4 linked regions of the Macaca mulatta genome follow. The protein of the gene in region 1 purifies or fractionates together with the protein of each later gene. This does not show direct contact. Links are inferred from orthologs where the notes say so. Each region holds a gene or a part of one and is shown in the gene's direction. Other genes may lie near its edges.

What was found.
Region 2: the proteins of SNIP1 (region 1) and NKTR purify together in Homo sapiens (affinity purification with mass spectrometry; 3 studies listed by BioGRID and IntAct, counting the BioPlex papers as one, with this or other methods). This does not show direct contact. The link is inferred for Macaca mulatta from reciprocal best matches to the Homo sapiens genes SNIP1 and NKTR.
Region 3: the proteins of SNIP1 (region 1) and PNN purify together in Homo sapiens (affinity purification with mass spectrometry; 4 studies listed by BioGRID and IntAct, counting the BioPlex papers as one, with this or other methods). This does not show direct contact. The link is inferred for Macaca mulatta from reciprocal best matches to the Homo sapiens genes SNIP1 and PNN.
Region 4: the proteins of SNIP1 (region 1) and ACIN1 purify together in Homo sapiens (affinity purification with mass spectrometry; 3 studies listed by BioGRID and IntAct, counting the BioPlex papers as one, with this or other methods). This does not show direct contact. The link is inferred for Macaca mulatta from reciprocal best matches to the Homo sapiens genes SNIP1 and ACIN1.

What each region holds. Positions count from the first base shown.
Region 1 is NC_133406.1:203,243,272-203,247,392, forward strand, and holds the start of SNIP1 (smad nuclear-interacting protein 1), read left to right. Parts: upstream 1-1,314; 5' UTR 1,315-1,357; coding exon 1,358-1,581; intron 1,582-2,838; coding exon 2,839-2,941; intron 2,942-4,121. UniProt on the Homo sapiens protein: Required for pre-mRNA splicing as component of the spliceosome. As a component of the minor spliceosome, involved in the splicing of U12-type introns in pre-mRNAs. Down-regulates NF-kappa-B signaling by competing with RELA for CREBBP/EP300 binding.
Region 2 is NC_133407.1:105,948,294-105,952,437, forward strand, and holds the start of NKTR (NK-tumor recognition protein), read left to right. Parts: upstream 1-1,289; 5' UTR 1,290-1,382; intron 1,383-1,563; exon of another isoform or gene 1,564-1,587; 5' UTR 1,588-1,610; coding exon 1,611-1,668; exon of another isoform or gene 1,669-1,684; intron 1,685-4,144. UniProt on the Homo sapiens protein: PPIase that catalyzes the cis-trans isomerization of proline imidic peptide bonds in oligopeptides and may therefore assist protein folding. Component of a putative tumor-recognition complex involved in the function of NK cells.
Region 3 is NC_133412.1:112,288,180-112,292,254, forward strand, and holds the start of PNN (pinin), read left to right. Parts: upstream 1-1,238; 5' UTR 1,239-1,269; coding exon 1,270-1,382; intron 1,383-2,057; coding exon 2,058-2,129; intron 2,130-2,509; coding exon 2,510-2,578; intron 2,579-3,383; coding exon 3,384-3,456; intron 3,457-3,563; coding exon 3,564-3,658; intron 3,659-3,811; coding exon 3,812-3,887; intron 3,888-4,075. UniProt on the Homo sapiens protein: Transcriptional activator binding to the E-box 1 core sequence of the E-cadherin promoter gene; the core-binding sequence is 5'CAGGTG-3'. Capable of reversing CTBP1-mediated transcription repression.
Region 4 is NC_133412.1:96,187,074-96,191,391, reverse strand, and holds the start of ACIN1 (apoptotic chromatin condensation inducer in the nucleus), read left to right. Parts: upstream 1-1,516; 5' UTR 1,517-1,754; coding exon 1,755-2,066; exon of another isoform or gene 2,067-3,478; coding exon 3,479-3,544; exon of another isoform or gene 3,545-4,318.

The sequences.
Region 1 (4,121 bases):
TTTTTTGTTTTGGTTTGGTTTTTTTGAAGACAGGGTCTCACTCTGTAGCCCTGGCTGGAGTGCAGTGGTGCCATCACGGCTCACTGCAGCCTCCAACTCCTGGGCTCAAGTGATCCTCCTATCTCTGCTGGGACCACAGGCACGAGCCACCAGCCCCTGCAAAATTTAATTTTTGTAGAGACAGAGTCTTGCTATGTTGGGCAGGTTGGTCTGGAACTCCTGGCTTCAAGCGATTTTCCTGCCTTGGCCTCCCAAAGGGCCGGAATTACAGGCTGCAGCCTCCGTGTTCGGCTGTAAATAGCTACTTTTGACAGCATAACGGTCTCTGGTCAGGTGTGATTACATTCTTGGGAGGAGAAGAAAGAAACAATTATTCCTTTTGGTAGTCTGTATCTTAGGCAGATAAAGACCTGCGCTTTGGGAGAGATGGTGGGCACCGGGAAGGAACATTGAGGCTTCTTCAGTTCGGCATGTCAGTGCGCCATATTTTGGGGTTTCGATTTCTGAGCCCCAACAGCATTGCAAAAAGTTCAGGAAATAGAAGAGGAAAAGCTAATGATTTGCCCACGGGTTATCATCTCTGATTGCATTTCCATGTCTTCCTCCCTTCTATTTCCAAATGTAAATGTAATTATGGTTTGCGCACAATTTTGTATCCTGCTTTGTCGTTAACAAGTCAGGGTTTTTAAAGTTTGTAAATGGTTTACTAATGGCCACATAACACCCATTAATTTGGCTAACTTCCCTACTGCTGGGTATTTACATTGTTTCCACGTTTTGTAATTACCAGTAATGTGGCAACAAACAGTCTTGAGAGGTTTGCTTTTTCCCAGTTTTTTGTTGTTATTGTTGTTTGTTTGTTTTTGAGACATCTCGCTCTGTCGCCCAGGCTGGAGTGCAGTGGTGCGATCTGCGCTCACTGCAACCTGCGCCTCCCGGGTTCAAGCGATTATCTTGCCTCATTCTCCCGAGTAGCTGGGATTACAGGCGCGCGCCACCACACCTGGCTAATTTTTGTATTTTTAGTAGAGACGAGGTTTTGCCATGTTGGCCAGGCTGTTCTCGAACTCTTGACTTCAGGTGATCCGCCAGCCTCGGCCTCCCAAAGTTCTGGGACTACAGGCGAGAGTCACCACGCCCAGCCAGAAGTTTGTTTTTGAAACTTGAAACTCCCGCCACCCAAGCCGGTCACTGTGGCTACGCCCACTAGGGAGTAGTCACGTGTTTAATATCTGCCGCGAGGATTTCTGGGAGGTTGGGCACCCCGGAAGCGGAAGTCCAGGAGTCAAACTCGTCATTTCCTTCAGCTAGAGGAGCTCAACGGATCTGTTTTCTTTCGCTCAGCCAAAATCACAGAATGAAGGCGGTGAAGAGCGAACGGGAGCGAGGGAGCCGGCGAAGACACCGGGACGGGGACATGGTGCTGCCGGCGGGGGTGGTGGTGAAGCAGGAGCGTCTCAGCCCAGAAGTCGCACCTCCCGCCCACCGCCGTCCGGACCACTCCGGCGGTAGCCCGTCTCCGCCGACCAGCGAGCCGGGCCGCCCGGGCCACCGCGGGAACCGAGCCCGAGGAGTTAGCCGGTAAGTGGGGGAGCAGCCCAGGATGGACGTTGGGTTGGGCTCATTCAGAAAGGCGGGCAGGGCTAGCATCCGAAACAGGTTTTGAATGCTGGGCGCAGCAGCCCGGACTTAATCCTGAGGGACTGTTGAGAGTGATCCAGTCGTGCTTGTGTTATGCTTGCTCTGTCACTTGCCTTATAGCTCGGTGTTCAACGCCTAATGACACACCGGCAGGATCCCACTCCTTCATTCTTGTGTCCCCAGCACTTCGAAGAGTGTAGCCCAACAGATAGCACTGATAATCTGTTAAATTGGAATGAGATTTTCCCCATCCCGCCCACAAATGGAGTGTGGGCCTTGTCTTTCCAGTTACCTGCCAGAAAGGTTTTCACATCGAGGTCTAGGCGAGCTACCTAACAGAAACTGGAAAAATAAAAATAAAAAAAGTTACTTCTTGCTAGACTCATTTATTTATGCATTCATTCACCATAGTTTTACTGAGTGCCTATTTTAAGTGTGAAAGACTGCCCTAGGTATTGGGGCTGCAAGGGCGATTCAGTTAGATGATCTTCACCAGTGCCAAATTGGCCGTGCTCTAACCCTGAGACAGATGATTAAAAAAAAAAAAAAGTTTCAATAACAAGTATTATTGATAGGTTATAACAGTAATGTGATAGAGATTGGAGAGAAGAGGGAGGAGGCCTCTTTAAAGAGGTGCCATTTGAGTCCAGACCTGAGTGATAGGAATGATTCAACCTCTTAAAGATCCAGGCAGAGGAAACAACATCTGCAAAGAACTTGAAGTAGAATGAATTATGATTGAAATGGGAAAAAGCCAGTGTCGGTGGAGTATAGTGGTCAAGAAGGTGGGTGGTAGGAATGAGATGGCATAGGGAGGAAGTAGAACCACAGGATGGAGGGATTGTTCCTGATGCTAGGGGTGTTGGTAGTGAGGGATAAAGAATCAAGGGTGACTTCCGGATGGTGATGCCAGTTAGCAAGATGGCAAGGAGTAGGAGAGGAAAGGTTTTTGAAGGGTTGGAAATTAAGAGTTTTGTTACCTAAGTGAGAAGGTTCAGTAGACAGTTGTCTATGTGAGTATGGAATGCAAGGGAGACGTTAGAGCTAGGAAAATGAACCTCGTGACTCCTTTAATGTGATTGGCAGATACCTTCACAAAAGCAGTGTTTGTGTTAGTAGGTAAGCCTGATACTGGAAGCTAATTTTTATGGGGGAAGGGAAATTGCGATAAAATCCTGTGTACCATGCTCTGTATAGGTCCCCACCCAAAAAGAAAAACAAGTCCTCAGGGAGAAGAAGCAAGTCTCCTCGGAGTAAGAGAAACCGAAGTCCTCACTACTCAACAGTCAAAGTGAAGCAGGTAAGTGGATTGGGGTGTTTTGATGTTGGGTCCAAATTGAGAGCCTTTTCCTATCACAGCTAAAGAGGGCTGTGTGTGTGTGTATTGTGTGTGTGCGCGTGTGTGCACGCACACTCGCCTACATCTCTACCTGTACCTCCAATGGGCTTTTCTGAAAACTGGGTGTATTTCTTTTTTCTGCTTGTTTGCTTAAATTAAACTTTTTATTTTGAGATTATTATTGGTTCACATATGGTTGTCAGAAATAATTCAGGGAGATATACTCTTCCTGGTTTCTCCCAGTGGTAGCATCTATTCATAATAGAACTGTGGTACAATATCATCATCAGAATATTGACATCGATATAGTCAAGATAACATTTCCTTCACCACAAGGAATACCTCATGTTGTCCTTTTGTAGCCACACACACTTATCTCCCACTTTTATCCTTCCTTAACTTCTGTCAACTTCTAATCTGTTCTTCATTTCTATAATTCTGTCATTTCAAGAATGTTATGTAAGTGGAATCATACAGTATGTAACCTTTAGGATTGTCTTTTCTCACTCAGCAGAATCCTTTGGAGATTGATTCAGGTTGCAGCTCTCAGTAGTTTGTTCTATTTCATTGCTGAGTGGTATCCATATGGCATGGATTTAGCCACTTACTCATTAAAGAACATCTGGGTTGTTTCCATTTTTTGGCTATTACACATAAAGCTGCTATATACACATTTGTGTACGGGTTTTTATGTGAACATAAGAGTTCATTTCTCTGGAGTGCAATTGCTGGATTGTACGGTAGTTGCAGGTTTAATTCTTTTAAGAAATTGCCAGACTGTTTTCCAGAGTGGCTGTATTAGTTTCCTAGGGCCACCATAATGAAATACCATAGAGTAGGTGGCTTAAACAACAGAAATTCATTTTCCTGTAGTTCTGGGGCTAAAAGTCAAAAATTAGGGTGTTAGCAGGTTTGGATTCTCCTGAAAAAAATCCTCTTTCCTTGGCTTGCAGATGGCTACCTCTTTGCTGTATCCTTAAATGATCTTTTTTCTGTCCTGGTGTCTTTTCTCAGCCATATTGGATTAGGGCCCTGCCCTCATTTTTTAACTTAATCAGCTCTTTAAAGACCTTATCTCCAAAAACAGTTATTAATACATTCTGAGGTACTTGGGTTTGGTACTTTAACTTGCTAATTTTGG
Region 2 (4,144 bases), on another chromosome or scaffold:
CAAATTTACAGAGAGAAAGTAGAAAGGTGGCTGCCAGGAACTTGGGAAAAGAGGGAAATGGGGAGTTACTGTTTAATGGATACAGAGTTTCAGTTTTGCAAGATGGAAAATGTTCTGTGGATGGATGGTCGGTACTGAGGGTCGCACAACCGTGTGAAATACAATTAATGCCAGTGAACTGTACACTTAAAAATGGTTAAAATGGCAACTGTAATGTAATGTATATTTTATAGTTAAAAAACTTAAACGATAGTGTGGTACTGATACACAGATCATTGGAACAAAAATCCAGAAATAGACCCACACAAATTTGGTCACAAGGCTAAGGTAATTCAATGTGTAAGAGTCTTTTCAACAAATGGTAATGGAACGACTGTATATCCCGATAGGAAAATGTGACACTTGACAACATAAGCAAAAATTAATGCTATTAGATCATAGACTTACACGTAAAAGACTATGTAAAACATATATGAGAACACAGAATATCTTCACGAACTTGAGGTAGGCAGAGATTTCCTAGCACAGAAAAAGCACAAACCATAAAAGATTGACTTCACCAGAATTAAAAACAACTTTGCCAAAAACATACTCAAAACAATGAAACGACAGGCCCAGACTGGGAGAAAGACTTCGCAATCATTTATGTAACAAAAGATTTTTATTCAGAACATACATATATCTATCTAACAAAACATTTGTATCCAGAGCTGCTAAACACGAAGAACCAGATTTAAAAACGCGCAAAGACTGGAACTGAAACTTCAGAAAAGATGCAGAATGGCCAGTAAGCACAGAACAGAAACGGTGCCAGTGACGCTGGTGCCAAAGCGGGAAGGAACACATTCCTCAGCCTAAAAGACCTAACAGTAGGACACGGACATAACCATCCCCGGCCAACAGGAACACAGAGTGACACGACCTCTTGGCTAACGAAAACTCAAAGCCTCAATTCACTCAGCTCCTTCACAGCGCTCAGAAACAGGGAAGTCTGGCGGTATCCGAAAATGCCGCAGACGCTCACAGCCGGACGAGACGGAGGGCGCAGGCGCATCCACGGCTTTCACATTGGGCAACTGACTTCAAAGCGGGGGGGCAAACAGGGAGCGCGCAGGTATAGGAGCGCCGGCTGGAGGCTCCTCGAGAGCTCCCCAGACACGCCCCCGAGCGTGCGCCCCCGCTGCCACCACCTCCGGTTGACCACCCCCATCTAGACTGTACTCTCGCGGTATTTGTCCCGACTCTCGCGGGATTTAGCGTGGCTTTGGGAGGCCGGGCCCGGAGGAGGAGGTGGCGTTCCGTTAGCGGCGTTGGGGTCTGGCTGCAGTGGCAGTGCTTTCTCCTCTGCTCACTGGGACCCGCTCAGGCTGGAGGCCAGCCAGGTGAAGAGCTCGCCCGCATGCGTACGCGCTGCGTGGGAGCCGCGAGGCCTGGGGCGGGAGGGGGCCTCGTCTTGGCCTCCTGCGCTGTTGCGACGGGCCGGCGTGAGGCACCGTGGCGCGGACTTCGTCTCAGCCCCGCCCTCGCCCGTGCCCTCGCCCCCGCCCTCGCCCCTGCCCTGACCGCTTTCCTCCCCCTCTCTCCCAGCTCTTGCCGCCACCTCGGTCGCGATGGGGGCGCAGGACCGGCCGCAGTGCCACTTCGACATCGAGATCAACCGGGAGCCGGGTGAGCTGGAGACTGGGGAGCGCTGCTGGGGCCGAGGCCTGCCTAGGCGAAGGGGAGGGGTCTACCCTCAGTAACCCTCCCCCCGTCCTTTTTGGGAGCGGGTAGGAGGCGCAGTCAACTTTCCATTTTCTCTTGAGAGAAAATCAGTGGGAGAGGAAGGTGGCCTGGGCACACCCCAAACTCGCAGTCCAGGCCTCTTCCTCCCAAACCCCACACCGCCCCCTGCATCTCCGGACTGAGTCCTAGTAGCCAGCCTGGCGCCAAGAAAAGGAGGTGCAGTTCTTTGAGGACTTTTTCTCTCCCAGTGTCTCCGTGGGGCAGACACTTCCGATCCGATTTCCGGTTATCTTGCTTGGTGCCATGAAGTTTCAACTAGTAGGAAATGTGTGTTTCCTAATCACGATATATCACTACTTTAATGTTAACGCTGCCTCTATTTTTCCTTAAGAATCTTTAGCTAGAATTTCGTGGTTCCTGGGAAAATGGCTTAATGAACGTCCTTTGTGATAAACCAGAGCATTCTGTATCAGCAGAATTGCAGCATGCATGCACTTAGCGTTACTGTTTTGTCTTTTGGGAGTCCAGCCATTTGTTAAAGTGTATTTTTTTGAAAATGAAACATTTCCTTCTAGAGCATAGTTACTTTATTCTAAGTAGCAGAGCGTGCAGGGTTTCAAACTGTTTTCTTAGGTTTTTTTGTTATCTGTGACAGAAGTTTTAATTGGAGGCATATATATACACTGTGCAACATCTTGTTCTGCATATTCTTATGAGAACCTGCTACTGTTCTAGGGTCTGGAGATAGAGCAGCGCATAAAACAAAGGCCACTCTTCCTTTTATAGTTTATATTCTATTGGGGGGAAGACAGACAACTAGGAAGAAAACAGTGACTTGCAGTTGGGATACTATTTTAATAAGTTGGTCAGACAAGGCCATTTTGAGAAGATGACATTTAAGCAGGTATCAGAAAGAGATGAAGTGAGCCATATTTAAGAAGAGCATTCGTGGTAGAGGGAAACAGCACAGCCCTGAGGTGAGAAGTAGTATACAGTCAGGCGCCAAATGACATTTCTGTCTCTTAACAGTGGTCTTATATAGAATACTTTTTTTTGTGTAACTTTTTAATGTTTACCTATGTTTACATACACAAATACTTCATTGTGTTAAAGTTGCCTACGGTATTCAGTGGAGTAACATCCTGTACAGGTTTGTAGCCTAGGAGCAAATAGACCATATAGCTTAGGTGTGTAGTAGGCCGTACCATCTAGGTGCGTTTAAGTACATTCCATGATGTTCACACAATGATGAAATTGCCTAATTACACATTTCTCAGAATCCGTCCTGGTTATTAAACAATAGAGGACTGTACTTGCATGTTTGACGGACAGCAAGGTGCCCAGTGTGGCTGGAGTAGAAGAGGGAAGAGAATAGTAGAAAGGGCCTGTAGGACTGACTCAGTGAGGTAGGAAGATATTAAAGAGTTTTGAGCAAAGGAATGAGATAATCCTAAAAATTTGGTTGCCTTCTCTCTCTCTTTTTAATGTTTTTAGCCTTGATTGATCTTTGTTTTTAAGTTAGAGTTACTAGAAAGCCTTGATGGACTTTAATCTTTATTCTGTAGTGAATCCATGCGTCAGATAACAGGGTTATTTTTTGTTAAGAATTAAAAATAGGCCAGGCTCGGTGACTCACGCCTATAATCCCAACACTTTGGGAGGCAGACACGGGTGGATCATTTTGAGCTCAGGAGTTCGAGATCAGCCTGGCCAACATGGTGAACCCCATCTCTACAAAAAATACAAAAATTAGCTGGGCGTGGTGGCTCTCTTAGTTTTTGCCTGTAGTCCCAGCTACTTGGGAGGCTGAGACTGGAGGATTGCTTGAGCTTGGTAAGCGAAGGTTGCAGTGAGTAGAGATTATACCACTGCATGTCAGCCTGGGTAATGGAGCGAGACCCTGTCTCAAAAAAAAAAAAAAGAAAAGAAAAATAGTAGATTGCTGAAAGATAAAAGTACGGTGGCGCTCATACCAGTAATCCCAGTACTTGGGGAGGCTCAGGCAGGAGGATTGCTTGAAGCCAGGAGTTTGAGACCAGCCTGGACAATATAGCAAGACCCTGTCTCTACAAATATAATTTTTTTTAGTTAGCCAGGCATGGTGGTGCTCACCTGTACTTGGAAGTGTGAGGTGGAAGGATGGTTTGAGCTCAGGAATTTAAGGCTGCCATGAGCTATGATTGCACCACTGCACTCCAGCTTGGTCAACAGAGCAAGATCCTGTTTCTAAAAAAAAATTCAAAAAAAGAAATTTAAAAAGCTTAAGAAAGTACAAGTAAAAATTTCTGTAGTTATGTTAAGTACTCCTTTCCTAGTAAATGTTGAGGTCCTAGATTTGCACATAACCTGTGTTGTGAAAAATCTCCAGAAAATGTTTGACAAATGTTCAATGAACCTCAGTCCTCAACATCCAAGGTAA
Region 3 (4,075 bases), on another chromosome or scaffold:
TATAGAACAAAACTGGTTCCCACACTGGCAGTGCAGGTAGGGCAGAACCAGAAGCAGGACAACACACACAGACACCACTAACAATAGGGCCGCTCCCTTAGGCCTGGTCTTAACCAGCTCTAGGCCAGGTGAAGAGGCTAACTCAACCATGACTGCCTGTCTCGCTATTGCTTTCTTTTCTCTAGTACAGATGCTCAGGGTCTAATCAGAGACTGATTCTCAACTGGCGCGACCAAGGGACAGTTATATTATCTCCAGTCTCAATTTCCTTATCAGTAATAACAGGCATTTTTATCCACACTTTTAGTTTGTGAGGAATAAGGCACGTAGAGGGTTTCACAGAGGGTCGGGAACAAGATCAACCCCTAACCAATGTTAGTCATTATGATTAATGACTTTTCCTAGTTTTTATTTTTGTCTTCCTTCTGCTCACTTTAGCCTAATCAGGGTGGGCGTGGTGACTCAAGCCTGTATTCCCAGCACTCTGGGAGGTAGAGGCGGGCGGATCACCTGAGGTCAGGAGTTCGAGACCAGACTGCCCAACATGGTGGAATCCGGTCTCTAATAATACAAAAATTAGCCAGGCGTGTTGGCAAGCGCCTGTAGTCCCAGGTACTCGGGAGACTGAGGCAGGAGAATCGCTTGAACCTGGGAGGCGAAGGTTGCAGTGAGCCGAGATGGTGTCACTGCACTCCAGCCTGGGCGACAGAGCGAGACTCCGTATGAAAAAAAAAAAAAAATTAACCTAATAGAGGAAAGCACGCGCCCACCCCCTCTCTGAGCATGCGCACCAACAGAATAGCCGCGCCCTTTTCTAATTAAACCATTAACCAAGGTGAGGGTAAGGAAGAAAAGGAGGCTTGGCTAAGTCCCACCCTGATGTGATCAGGTTAAAACTGTGTAAGGCACATTACATCATAGGTTAAAAGGCCTGGAAAACTCCGCGCTCTCCTTGCCAGAACTGCAGGCTTGCGGGCCAAGTCTCTGAGAACTCAGGGATTGTGAAACCCGCCCCGGCTCTGCGCTAGCAGCGGGATCCAGGCACCCGCAGCTAATTGGGGAGGGAGGTGACTGCCTGGCTGACTTTTCATTGGCCCAGAGTCACAAAGGCTGCAGGTTCTTCCCCCTTCCGGTCGCTGAGTGGTTGAGGCCGGAAAACAACGCTCATCGTCATTGGCTGAGCCCGGCTGTCAGTCCTTTCGCGTCTCGGCGGCGCGGCACAGCCCGGCGCGGCCTGTAAAGCAGTCTCAGGCCTGCTGCAGGGAGAAGATGGCGGTCGCAGTGAGAACTTTGCAGGAACAGCTAGAAAAGGCCAAAGAGAGCCTTAAGAACGTGGATGAGAATATTCGCAAGCTCACCGGGCGGGATCCGAATGACGTGAGGTAAGGGCTTAACGGGAACTCGGAGCTCGGAGAGGCAGCCCTCTGGTCGGGGTGAATTGGGGGCGGGGAGGGCGGCCAGCCTTCAGAAGGCTGGAACCTCGAGGCCTGTTCGCGGGGCGGCGGGTAAAACCATGTTCTCGCCGAGGTGGAAAAGCCCCAGGCCCCCATCGTAGAGCGCTGGTCTCAGGTTCCTGAGAAAGGAGAGCGAGTCCTGGATACGCCGGCATGGTTTCTCAGGCCTGTGAGAAGACCCAGACTACTGATTCCCGCCCTCGGCCCTGCAGGCCCGGAACTGCAGCACAAAGCCCCTTCCCGCTCTGGCGGGCACCCGGCCCAGGGCTGGCCCCGAGACCCTGCCGGGACGCCACTAGCCACTTCACCCCAACCTCTTGCCCACGTGCAGCTTCCTCGGGGATGGCGGGATGGGGACCTGATTCAGGCTTTTCAATGTGTGGGGGCATCGAGGTGATTATAATTTCTGTGATACAGGTCCTGGAGAAACGAGGAAGTTAAATGAAATAGTACGTCCTGTCCTGTTTCAGACACTTGGGTTTATTTGAAACTATCTTTTTGGAACTTTTGCGATTTTCTCCTTGGATCCATATCTCTGAAAGTAATTGGTGCAACTATGTGTGTCTGCATATGATCTTGCACTGATTTGTAAATCTCTTACAGGCCCATCCAAGCCAGATTGCTGGCCCTTTCTGGTCCTGGTGGAGGTAGAGGACGTGGTAGTTTATTACTGAGGTAAGATTTCCTTTGGACTTTACTCATGCTGAAACTACTGGTACTTTACTTACAAATATATTGGCTTGCACAAAACCTGTGATAAAATCGATAACCCAGTGTTTGTTGTCTTTGTTTAATGCTTGTGATAGACTAGGTTTCCGTATAAATACAGTTATCCTGAAAAACTGGAGGTCGAAGAATATATTAAGTGTACCAATTTTGAGTGAACTTAATTCTTATAGTTTAAAGTAACACTAAAAGCATTTTGGGAATGAATGCCCATTTAAGGCTACTTTAGTTGGAAAGGTTTTTAAAATTTCAACCATATTCTCTTGTCAAATGGAAATACCGTTTATCTTGTATTTCAAGTGCTTTATGTTGAACATTTTAAATTTCAGGCGTGGATTCTCAGATAGTGGAGGAGGACCCCCAGCCAAACAGAGAGACCTTGAAGGGGCAGTCAGTAGGTAGGTCTGTAAAAAGATTCCTGAAGTCTTCTTTAGTTTCTGATGTACAACACAAATACAAATATTTATTAATAATAATGCTGTTTGAGTAATATTACAATTGAGTAGTGTGCCACTTCCCCCCCCTCACAAGTTCTCTTGGTATTTGATTGAACTGAGTCAGTTCTCTCAAAACACAGTTCTGCACTCATGATAACCCACAGTTTATCAAAATAAAGGTCAGGTGAAGAGTAAATTTGGAAAAATTGTCAATTAGTACCATTTTTTTCTGACTTGTAATTGAAATACTTAACCAGTTTGAAATACTTAGAAAATACAGGAGAGCAGAGTTAGTTTGGGTGTTAGTTCACATGTTGTATTCTTTCTCTGCTGGAGGAAAGAATAAAATGGAATGGAGACTTGATAGAACAAAGCTTCTGGAAATGAGTCCTAGAAAGAGAGGGCATTTGCCTTTGGTGTGCAGTTACATAAATACCTCTGGTCATTTAAATTAATTTCTGGCCAGGTACAGTGGCTTATCCCTGTAATCCCAGCACTTTGGGAAGCCAAGGCCAGCAGATCACTTGAGCCCAGGAGTTCCAGACCAGCCTAGGTACATGGTGAAATCACATCCCTACAAAAAGTACAAAAAAGTTACCCAGGCATGCTGGCTCACGCCTGTAGTCCCAGCTTGGGAGGATGAGGCAAGAGGATCACTTGAACCTGGGAGGTCGAGGCTGCAGTGAACTGTGGTGGCACCACTGCACTTCAGCCTGGATGGTATAGTGAAACACTGTCTCAAAAAAAGTAATTTTGTCTATGACAGGCTGGGTGGGGAGCGTCGGACCAGAAGAGAATCACGCCAGGAAAGCGACCCAGAGGATGATGATGTTAAAAAGGTATTGAGATTGAAGGAACTTAAACGAATGTAGTACCTTCACTTTACTACATTTGAAAGCACACCACTCATATGCTAGTTAATTACTGAGATTTTCTTTTTCTGCAGCCAGCATTGCAGTCTTCAGTTGTAGCTACCTCCAAAGAGCGCACGCGTAGAGACCTTATCCAGGATCAAAATATGGATGAAAAGGGAAAGCAAAGGTATTTCCCTGGGGGAAAAAAACTCTTGTGAAATAATGCAGTTATAAGGAAAATTAAGGGATTGTTCAAGTGTCCTGTAGTGTTTCTTAGAAAATGATGGGTTTAAATGAAATGGATCCTGTTGACAGTAAATTTTCTTATTCTGTTCTTTAGGAACCGGCGAATATTTGGCTTGTTGATGGGTACCCTTCAAAAATTTAAACAAGAATCCACTGTTGCTACTGAAAGGGTATTTATCCAAGTTTTGTTTTGCATCATGTATTTAAGTTATCAAAGTAGTAGATTAATTTTTTTTTAAGCCTTAAAGCTGTTTTAAGACTTAATTGTAAACCTAAAATAAAGCCAAATGAAAACTTGGTTTAACTTTTTATAGAACAGCCTTACTTAAACATTGTGTTGCAATATGACAGTTGTTGA
Region 4 (4,318 bases), on another chromosome or scaffold:
CCTTGCTCAAAATAAGGTAACGCAGTAAAAGAACCAGAAGCCCGGGTGTTTGAGACTTTAAAGAGAGTCCAGTTGGTTTGTTGGCTTAGAGATCTAACAACTGTTACACTACTTCATGACAATCCATGTTTTTAAACAATTGCCCTTAATATTTAGTATGGGCCAGACACAGTGGCTCTTTCACTTCCAAAGTAATCTCAGCACTTTGGGAGGCCGAGGCAAGAGGATAGCTTGAATCCAGTTGTTCAAGACCAGCCTGGGCAACATGGCAAAACCTCATCTCTACAAAAAATTTAAAAACTCGTTGGGCGTAGAGGTGCCTAACTGTAGTCCTAGCTACTTAGGAGGCTGAGGTAGGAGGATCACCTGAGCCCGGGAGGTTGAGGCTGTAGTGAGCCCTGATCACACCACTGCACTCTAGCCTGGTTCAGAGTGGAATGACCCAGAGTGGAGTGACAAAAAAAATTTTTTTTTTTTTAGTATGGCATCTATTGGTGCCTTGCTATTTATTTATTTATTTATTTATTTTTGAGACGGAGTCTTGCTCTGTCGCCCAGGCTGGAGTGCAATGGCGTGATCTCAGCTCACTTCAACCTCCGCTTCCCGGGTTCAAGCAATTCTCCTGCCTCAGCCTCCCGAGCAGCTGGGAATATAGGCGTACGCCCGGCTAATTTGTTTGTATTTTTACTAGAGACGGGGTTTCACCATATTGGCCAGATTGGTCTCCAATTCCTGACCTCAAGTGATCCGCCTGCCTCGGCCTCCCAAAGTGCTTATAGGCATGAGCCACCGCGCCCGGCGCCTTGACATTAATTTTGCATCGTGAATGCAACGGAAAGATCAGCCTATTTGACTTCAATAGTTTTCAGTCTCTTAAATCTCTAACATATCTCTTAAATCTCTAAACCATTTGTCTGTGACCTATTTTACTGTTTGTGTTTCTTCTGCATCAAGTTGGAGGATTGCTAGTGACAAAGAAAGAAGCCCCTAAACAATATGAGTTCAAGTACCAAAAAAGTTCAGGGCGCTTGCATTTTTCAGTTCTTGCCCTACAGGAAGCAGTTCCTCCAAGGGAACTTACTCTCTTCTTCGGAGAAATGGAGAATTTTCTTGCCACACGGCTTCCAAGGCAAACGCAAACTCAAACTCAAGTTGAGCGTCATAAATCAGTTCATAGTCTGGGTCTGAAGACACGGCGCTGCCTGCCTCTTCCCCACTTTGGAGGCCACGGAGCTTGTTATTCCGATTCCGCCCCCCTCCACAGGCCCCACCAAAAAAAAAGCCTAAGATGGGAGTGGCTGGGATTCAGAGGACAGAGGGCAGAAGCGGTTCGCGTTAAGAAGTAGGTGGCTTGCCCTATTAGGATAGTCCGCAAACACCGAGTCTGACCCGGCCCATAGAGGTACTTCCACCCCGCTTACCTCCCCTTTTCTCTCGGACGGCACCCGAAGATTGTCAGGAGTCCTTAGACTCCAACTACCGCTGCAGCTTCCAAATTTCCTGAAAACCCTAAGCTGGGCCAGCCCGGCAGCCCACGCACTTCCGGCCTCGGACCCGCCCCAAACACCCAAGAGCCCCAGCGCCTCATCTCTAGGTCCGGAGATAAACGAACATCTCCGATTATGGTTATACCAGAGTCGAGGGCTTCCGAATATATTCGATTCAAAGCTTCGGCAAGACGAAGAAAACCGAGCCTGAAAGCAGGGCGAGAATAGGGGAGCTGCAGGGCGGATGGAAAGAATTGATTGGTGCCGATGTGGAGACGGAAATATCCGAGGACATCCGGAGGAAGCCGGGGAGTTCTGAGTGGTAATCGAGGGGTAGAGTATGGCAGTGGGCGGGGTCATCTCGGTACGTTCGAAGGGCGTTGGCGGAAATTACCGAAGATGCCCGAAGCCGTCGGGACGGACCCGAGTACCTCACGCAAGATGGCGGAGCTGGAGGAGGTGACTCTGGACGGGAAGCCTCTTCAGGCGCTGCGGGTGACCGACCTGAAGGCCGCACTGGAGCAGCGAGGCCTAGCCAAGAGCGGGCAGAAGAGTGCCCTGGTCAAGCGGCTCAAAGGGGTGAGGAGTCGGCGTTGCTGGGGTGTCGGAGGAGAGCGGACCCGGTAGAGACGAGCCTCTGCCGCGGCGCAGGCGCAGTATCCGGGCTCGGCGCGAGCTCGCTCAGGCCGCCAGCGCGAGCCTCTGGATCCGCGCGCACGGTGGTTGGTGAGGTTCGCGCTGGAATGGCGATCGCGCCGGTTCCCGCCTTAACGGCAGCAGCGCGAGCCCAAATGGGAGGGTGTGCACTACTCTCCAGGAGTGTCTTAAGCTCCTTCCTCCTTCCCCCACCCCCTCCTTGTTTGTATCTGTGGTTTCGGCGCATGCGCTGCAGAAGGAGTTAAATCCCACTACAACCTACGGCGTTGCTGGCCTGAGGGGGGCGAGTTGGGCTGGGTCGGAGTTAGGGGTATAGTTGCGCGGAGGGGTGGATGGGGTTGGTATCGGTATCTGCAGGAATAGGATTGGGGTAGGGTAAAATGTCTGCTCGATTAGATGAGGTGAGATGAAGAGAGACCTTTATGTGAAGGGACTTGATGAGAGAGGTGTCTAATTTATAGGGCATCTAGTGGCAATTTGGGTAGTTAAGAGTTTGGTGAATATTGGTGAGAGAGGCGAGGCAGGTTGATACATATTGGGGATTTTGAATCAGTTTAAGTAGATTAAGGTGGGAATGTCATGAGGTAGGTGTAGATCGATTCGAGTGTATAGGTTTGGTTTAAAGAAGGGAAGATGAGGATGTCTTGGTTTTAATTAGAGTTCAATAGGATACGTGGCAGGTAGTGCAGATTAGGTCTGGGTTGGCTCCAGGGTTGAGTTGGCAGACCGTTGCTTATACAGAAGTTGATTGTGTGTGTGTGTGTGTGTGGATGGACGGACTAGGTTAGACCACAGTTCACAGGGTCTCTGGTCATTTTCTTCTGTAGCCTCCTCTTTGAAAATTTTGTAAATTTGGTAAATCTAGGTGCCACAGTACTGGAAATTATACAAATTGACTCTAGTCCTGGGTAACCCTTTGACCAAGTAATTCCATCAGGCAAAAACCAGGAGCCCCATGGCTGCTGGTTTGAGTATTTTTAAGTAGTTTTACCTGCATGATCAGATTTAGAAGGGGCACTTGGCACAAGTGCAGAAGACAACAGGGATTTTAGTACTGGTTCTATTACTGATATTGTGACATAGCCAGGTCACTGATTCTGTGTGCCTGCATTTTATATCTGTACGTTTAGTAACAGTAACCGTGGCTACCTTTAAGGGTCTTCTGGTGATGAATGAGAACAGTGTCAGTAAAGGATTTTCAGGTCCCTGGAAGAGGAATACAGTTTAATTGTGTGTATTTAAGTCATTGCATTTAATTAAGAGGTTGTGGTAGAGGTGGGAGTTTTTCTTTTTTTTTCCTCATCATTTCTGACTTTTACCCTTCTCTATACCAGGCTCTAATGCTAGAAAATTTACAGAAACACTCAACACCCCATGCTGCATTCCAGCCAAATTCCCAGGTGAGAAAGGTTTATTCAATGGAGTGGGCTCTTTGGATATACAGACACATGGCAGGACGTGGTGTTGTATATTTCATGCTTAATTCCTCACGACTATTTTCCTAAGTTCCCTTGGTCAGAAATGTTCTCAAACCAGGACAGTTGAATTCGAATCACCCAGTTGTATACAAGGGCCTGGAGTAAAGAACAGAATCAAAGGCGCTATTAGTTTATAATAATTGAAATGGTATGTGCAGAAAGGTGTGGCTTCCATTAATTACGTGTAGTACAGAGATCTGAAGTCATTTATCTGCCATGAATTTAGGAAAGGTAGTTGATGTCTTTGAGTATAGATATGAAGTAGACCACCAATGTGACAGTGTAGGAAAATAGTTGCTAATTAAGAACTCTTGTTGATGTAGATTTACCAAGGATTCAATCCTGTGTAAGTCACCCACCATTACTAGTGTTAACTACTAACTCAATGCACTTATTCATAAGCATTACTAATAGCTCCTTTACTTAGGATAAGAAACTTAACCTTTGGAGGCCTTGGTTTCCTCCATTTCCTTATCTGTAATATGAGAAAAAGTCAAACTAAACCCATGGGTTTATAACTGCTCTCGGGGTTTTGTGGAGCTGCTTTGGGGAGCTTCTTAGGGGAAATAAATACCTTTTTCTCAAGTAAGCAAGGCTCATACTTCTCTCTTAAACTAGATTAGATCTACTTTTATCCGCTTTGACAATTGAGTTTCTGCATAAGATGTCTTTTAAATTATTCCACAGTTAAAATCC